2 linked regions of the Xenopus tropicalis genome follow. The protein of the gene in region 1 interacts with the protein of each later gene in a pairwise test. Links are inferred from orthologs where the notes say so. Each region holds a gene or a part of one and is shown on either strand. Other genes may lie near its edges.

What was found.
Region 2: the proteins of pum2 (region 1) and dazl interact in a two-hybrid assay, tested with the Homo sapiens proteins (2 studies listed by BioGRID and IntAct). The link is inferred for Xenopus tropicalis from reciprocal best matches to the Homo sapiens genes PUM2 and DAZL.

Annotation. Positions count from the first base shown.
Region 1 is NC_030681.2:143,259,841-143,263,681, reverse strand, and holds part of pum2 (pumilio homolog 2), read left to right. Parts: intron 1-1,003; coding exon 1,004-1,240; intron 1,241-3,841. UniProt on the Homo sapiens protein: Sequence-specific RNA-binding protein that acts as a post-transcriptional repressor by binding the 3'-UTR of mRNA targets.
Region 2 is NC_030677.2:190,324,691-190,328,531, reverse strand, and holds part of dazl (deleted in azoospermia-like), read left to right. Parts: intron 1-1,045; coding exon 1,046-1,162; intron 1,163-1,267; coding exon 1,268-1,359; intron 1,360-3,841. UniProt on the Homo sapiens protein: RNA-binding protein, which is essential for gametogenesis in both males and females. Plays a central role during spermatogenesis.

The sequences.
Region 1 (3,841 bases):
TCTAACCTCTTAGTTAGTCAGGGACTTTAGGGGGGGCCACATAGGACATTACTGTTCAGTTAGGTTGTGAGCACGCAGGTCAGATTCAAAACTGAACAGATATGTCCCATATGGTCCCCCCCTAAAGTCACTGGAAGGAAGTAGTGTTCTGGCTATTATGTTGGACATCTCACTCCAGCCTTTATAGATTACATTTTTGCCTAACTATATTACAGATATGGGATCTGTTAGCCGGAAACCCATTATCCAGGTTCTGCATTACAGGAAGACCATCTCCCATAGACTCCATTACAAGCAAATAATTCTAATTTTTAAAAATGAGTTCCATTTTCTCTGTAATAATAAAACCGTACCTGTACTTGATCCCAACTAAGATATAATTACCCCTTATTGGGGCAGAACAATCCTATTGGGTTTATTTAATGGTTAAATGATTCCCTTTTTTCTGTAATAATAAAACAGTACCTGTACTTGATCCCAACTAAGATATAATTACCCCTTATTGGGGGCAGAACAGCCCTATTGGGTTTATTTAATAGTTAAATAATCTTTTAGTAGACTTAAGGTATGGAGATCCAAATTATGGAAAGACCCCATATCAAGGAAAACCCCAGGTCCCGAGCATTCTGGATAATGGGTGCCATACCTGTACAAATTTTTTATTTTGCACGGTCTATTTTACCCAGTTTAAATGTTACACTGAACTGACACCCGTGAGCTAAGCATTATTACAGCCGAGCCGACTGTTTCTATGATGCTATTAATTACACACATCATACCTAATTATCAGAATTTGTATTCATTGCAATAAATTAGGGTTTTTCTCTAGCCGCTAGCCAACCCCCTCTAGCCCCCATTTTCCCTTTAGCTGTCGCCATCCTCATCCTTCAATCTTCCGTTAGTGTCTCTCGCCTGAATCTAATTTTAGATGTTCATCATTTAACCCTGTGTGTTTTTAAATTTTTATTTTTTGTTTGTTTTTTTTTTTATTTTATTTCTTCAGTTGGCAATTCCGCAGGTAGTAGTGGCTCAAGGAGAGATTCCCTGTCTGCTAGCTCTGACTTGTACAAAAGGTCTAGCAGCAGCCTAGCACCCATAGGGCAGCCATTTTACAATAGCCTGGGATTCTCCTCTTCTCCGAGTCCAATAGGCATGCCTCTGCCAAGCCAAACGTCAGGACATTCACTAACGCCACCGCCATCCCTTTCATCACATGGATCCTCATCCAGTTTGCATTTAGGTAAAGCAAACTCTTACTTGTATGTTTTGTGTGTGTTTGTGACTGTGACCGTGCTGTGCTCTTTGTTTCTTTGTTACCATTTTGGCATTTGTAACTGATGATGTGCAGGTTTTTAATCAGAGCTTTATAGTGGGGTAAGAGATGCAGGATTGGGAGATTCCATTCTGCGGGGTTTGCTGAACTTCAAGCCTTAAAGTGGATGTCCACCTTTACATTAACTTTTAATAAGACATGGATATTCTGTGACAATTTTGCACCTTTTTTTTAGTTAGCTTTTTGTTCAGCAGCTCTCCAGTTTGGCACTTTAACAGCTGGTTGCCAGGGGCTTCTTTAACTTAGCAACGAGCCCGTCGCTTGAATGAGAGACTAATATAAATAGGAGTGAGGCTGAATAGAAAGATAAGGAATAAAAAGTAACAATGATAACATTATGACCTTACAGAGCAATTATTTTTTGACTTCTGACCCTGCAAATAATTAAAACTCCTAATTCTAATCTGCCAGTGCCTCATCCACATGTTGAGAAGGGGCTTTGGCTAATAAAATGCCATGGACTCCCCCAGAGTCGCAACTGTGCCGATTACATGTGCCGCAACTGTAGGCTAATAACGTACAGGGTAAGCACAATAACCTTGGAAGAGCCTGTGGTTGGAGGGCCCTGCTCTTCTGTGTTAAAGGGCTAGTTTACTTTTAGTAAGTAATTGAATGACCAGTTCTTAGCAACTTTTCAGTTGGTCTTCATTTTTTTTCTCTTTTTCTTCTGACTTTTTTCAGCTAAAAAATGGTCACTAATCCCGGCAGCCAAACAACTATTGCTCTGTGAGGCTACAACTTTTATTATAGTTACTTACCTTTCTATGCAGGTTCTCCTATTCATATTCCAGTCTCTCATTCAAACCACTGCAGGGTTACTAAGATACTTTGAACCCTAGCAACCAGATAGCCGCTGAAATTGCAAACTGAAGAATTGCTGCACAAAAAGCTAAATTAAAAAAAAAAACACAAACACACAGAAAAAGTGAAATTCCATTGCAAATTGTCTATCACTCTCTACATACTAAAAGTTAATATTAAGGTGAACAACCCCTTTTGTCTTTTTTGAATGTGCTTTTTCTTTGTATTATTGGTTACATAACCTGCAGCAGCTTCTGTGCTGGGAAATGGCATGTAGTGAATGTCGGCCTGATAGCTAATATCAAATGAGCAATGAGGTTCTGGTAGGCTCACTTTTAATTGGGTTACGTAAAGACTTACTATTGGTGTTACTCACCAGGGCTGGACTTTAAAGGAACAGTAACACCAAAAAATTAAAGTGTATAAAAGTAATAACAATGTAATGTACTGTTGCCCTGCATTGCTACAACTGGTGTGTTTGCCTCAGAAAGACTACTATAGTTTATAAAAGTTAGCTGCTGTGTAGCCATGGGGGCAGCCATTCAAAGGAGAAAAGGCATAGGTTACTTAGCAGATAACAGATAAACCCCCATTATATGGGACTTATCTACTAGTTATCGGTTATTGATTGCTTTATATGTTACTCTGTATGTCCAATGTATGAAACCCACTTATTGTACAGCACTGCGGGATATGTTGGCACTTTATAAATAAATGTTAATGTAATGTTATCTGCTATGTAACCTGTGCCTTTTTTCCAGCTTGAATGGCTGCCCCCATGGCTACACAGCAGCTTATTTATATAGTAGCTTTTCTGTAGCAAAAACACCAGTTTTTTGCAGAGCAACAGCACATTATATTTTAATTACTTTAAAACACTTTAATTTTTTGATTTTACTGTTCCTTTAAATTACTCTGTGCCCTTGTTGTGGTTTCTTCTACTTTTTGGCCCTAACTAGAAGCATGGGATGTAACCCCCCACCTCCCACCCAAATGGTGCTGTCCACTCGGCCACCCACATACACTGCTTCTGGCCTTTGTGGCACTGACTAGCCCTGCCCAGTAGTATATACGTTACCCACTTACCTGATCTCTGTAGTGCTGATGGGTGTTTGAGCATGAAAAACAGTTATTGTCTTTACCTTTTTGTTCCGTTTCTTTCCTATGCTTTCTACTAACATCCTGTCACTGGTCTAATTTCTTTTATCCCCCCCACCCTCCCCCAGTCTGTTTTTATCCTTTCCTCCAGCTTTGGGTATAGACTTTCTTTCTTTCCTACGACATTTGCCATTTTGGTAGTGCCTAAAGACTGACCCTGCTTTTTTCTACTGTGTTAACTTTGTCTTCCAATCAGCATTGAACCTGTATGCCCAGAACATTCTGCCTCTTTATTCCCATCATTAATGGGGGGAGGGGTTGCCAGACTCGTGCCAAAGAACAGCCAACATGGAGGACACTCTCCCAGTAGGGTTGAGGAGCTGATTGAACCTTCTTTTCCTCTTGGTTTGGATTCCAACCCCTCCCATATATAAGCTATGACTTGAGTTGTCATTTCCGCACTTTGTTTCTCTAAAGTTTTTCATTCATCCAGGTCGTGATATACAGTATCTAGTAGAATTAAGTTTAAAACAACTGGACTTTTCTGAGTTTTTGGGAAAACGTTTTACTGCCCATCCGAGCGGCTTCTTCAGTTCAAATGACTGGTAG
Region 2 (3,841 bases), on another chromosome or scaffold:
ATTCAAGTATAAGTTTCCTCTTTTGTACATTTCTAGTTAAACTGGCAAGATCAGATGCACTTCCCTTGTACAGGTATGGGACCCATTTTCCAGAATGCTCGGGACCTGGGGTTTTCTGGATAAGGGATCTTTCTGTAATTTGGATCTCCATAACTTAAGTCTGCTAAAAATCATTTAAATATTGAATAAACCCAATAGGCTTGTTTTGCCTCCAGTAAGGATGAATTATATCTTTATCTATATTATTTGCTTATAATGGAGTCTATGGGAGATGGCCTTTCTGTAATTCGGAACAATCTAGATATTGGGTTTCAGGATAAGGGATCCTATACCTGTATTTTTCAGCAAGCCCAAAAAGCCTGAAATTCAACCTTTAAAGTGCAGCTGCCTCCAATGGACTTGGTCCATTTATTATGGTCAACCTTACTATTGGTAGGCCCTTATGATTGCTTTGTCTCTAGGCTGCTTGCCCTGAACTGTTGCCTTAACACTGGTCTTTGTTTTGCGTTAACTCCCTTTGTGGTGACCCTTGGAAACCCCCCATTACATTGCAATGCCTAGTTCATTACTCCAAACACTACGACCAGAAACACTCTATGATCCGCGATCATGACAGACAGTTTTACTTTACTCAGCGTTTGTGAATAAACCTCCATTGTGTTGGAAAAAAATATCAAATTTACCTTACTGGCAATCTATGGATTCTGCCAAATGCCAGAGAGGCTGCTGTAAGATGCCATAGACGGTCACTAGTGAGTGGGTGGGGGGGTTGTTTGAGTCTCTGTGTATTAGAAATGCCAGGGCCCATTTTAAATCTGTTTAACCAAAGTATATAGTGAAAAGGGACCCTTACCCAGAAACAAGTGTCCAGAAAGCTCTCTACTAGCTCTCTCCTTGGAGTCTGTTTTTAAATGGACAGTATACACATATGAAAGATGTGTATACTGTCAGCATAATGTTTTGTCTTATAGCAATACAGTATATACTTTTCGTGGTTAATCTTCAGAACGAAATGCATGTGTTTAAAGTTAATTTCTGTTTATAGTCTGCAACAGAAGCAAGTGCTGGAGAGGAGGCCGCCTCTGCTACAAGCCAAGCTTTTGTGTTGCCAGAGGGGAAAGTCATTCCCAACACCGTGTTTGTTGGAGGCATTGATATAACGGTACATTTTTTATTTTATTTTTTTCCCCACACCCCCATTTAGTTTAAGTAAACATACTTAAAGTATACCATATATATTATATTATAATTTTTTTTTTTTCTTAAGATGGATGAAATGGCGATTGGCAACCTCTTTGAAAAGTATGGCAAAGTGAAAGACTTAAAAATAATCACAGACAGAACAGGGGTGTCCAAAGGGTAAGTTGGTACCTTATTTTATTTTTTTTTGGGCAGTAAGTAAAAATTTACTGCCGGCCCCCGAACCGACTGAGCCCATTACTGCCGTTATAATTTGACTATTGAATTAGCCTGCATTTGCCCGATATCGCCCATCTGTAGGTGGGGATATCGGGAGAAGATCGCCAACCCCATGTAAAGGGGTTGTTCAATGTCCAAATTATTTTAAAACCACCAACAATAGTTAATTTTTCCCTTGCAATGACATAGGCAAACTCTGCATATCACAAATGTATGTATGTGTGTATGTATATGCAGGGCCGCCATCAGGGGGGCACAGGGGGGACAGTTGTCCCGGGCCCGGGCGTTTAAAGGGGGCCCGGCTGTGCTAGTTTTTTTTTTTACCTCGGGCCCTGTTACTTCCATTGCCGGCGTCCGCTGTTATGTCCCGAGCTCCCCGCTACATGTTCGCTTTTATAAGGTTGCGCCCTGTGCTCACTGACGTCACACGCACGGAGCGCAACCCTATAAAAGCGCACATGTAGCGGGGAGCTCGGGACGTAGTGGAAGATACAAATGAAGCCGGAGTTGACACAGGTGAGGAGCCGGAAGAAGCAGAAGGATGCTGGCGGCGGAGGACTGGAGGATGCTTGGGGGGACCCTGGGGGAAGGTGGAGGATACTTGGGGGGGGGGGGGGCCCTGGGGGAAGGTGGAGGATGCTTGGGGGGGGGGCCCTGGGGGAAGGTGGAGGATTCTTGGGGGGGGCTTGGAAGAAGCAGCAGGATGTTGGGTGGGGGAGTTGAAGGATGCTTAGGGGGCCCTGAAAGAAGCAGGAGGATTCTGGGGGGGGGAGCGTCAAGAAACAGCAGAGTGGGCCATTGTATGGGAACACTGGGGGAGAACCACCAATGTTTTAGGGGGCCCTGGGCTGGCTAGCAATGTATTAGTGGGTCCCTGCCACTAATGCAAAACGTAACCCTTGGCAACAAATGTTTAAGGGGTCCCTGGCTACCAATGTTTTAGGGGGCCCTCGCTACCAATGCTTGTGTATCCCTTGTATTGATGGTGGGGCCCAGAAATTTTGTTATGAGGGGCCCTGTGATTTCTGATGGCGTGTGTGTGTGTGTGTGTGTGTGTGTGTGTGTGTGTGTGTGTGTGTGTGTGTGTGTGTGTGTGTGTCATATACATACACACACTATATATATATATACATACACACACTATATATATATATACATACACACACTATATATATATATACATACACACACTATATATATATATATATACATACACACACTATATATATATATACATACACACACTATATATATATATATACATACACACACTATATATATATATACATACACACACTATATATATATATACATACACACACTATATATATATACATACACACACTATATATATATACATACACACACTATATATATATACATACACACACTATATATATATATATATACATACACACACTATATATATATATATATATACATACACACACTATATATATATATATATACATACACACACTATATATATATATATACATACACACACTATATATATATATATATACATACACACACTATATATATATATATATATATATATATACATACACACACTATATATATATATATATATATATATATACATACACACACTATATATATATATATATATACATACACACACTATATATATATATATATATATACATACACACACTATATATATATATATATATACATACACACACTATATATATATACATACACACATACACACACTATATATATATACATACACACATACACACACTATATATACATACACACACTATATATACATACACACACTATATATACATACACACACTATATATACATACACACACTATATATACATACACACACTATATATACATATATATATATATATATATATATATATATATATATATATATATATATATATTAGTGTGTGTGTGTGTGTTAGATTTTTATAGCACTGTCACAGGCACAGAAAGCAATGTCAGACTGACAGGAGTTAAGTCTGCTGCCAGTAAGGAACTTAAAAAAGCAACTGTAGTGTTTATAGGGGTCACTGCCCCCCCCCCCCCCCCCCTTTCTTCCTGCACAGGGTCTGTGCAGAAGTGAAGGATCAGCAGAGGGACTGAGGTGAATATCTCTTCCTGCCTTCATTCTGAACTGAGCTCTGTTGCACCTGTTGTCACAGGGAAACAGGCAGTAGCTCTAGGGTTGCTTTAGGGCCCCATGTCAATAGGTGCGGCACACTTGCATTGAAAGAATAGGGTGAATGTCACTGGGGGGGAAAAAATGGCAATTGTGCTCAATCACACTTTGCTTGCTGCACTCATAGCTCTATCCTGAAGGTATCTGATCTTTTTCTCATTAACCCTTTAACTGCCAGCAGAATTTCACATTTCGGTTCCACTCAGTGCCAGATGTT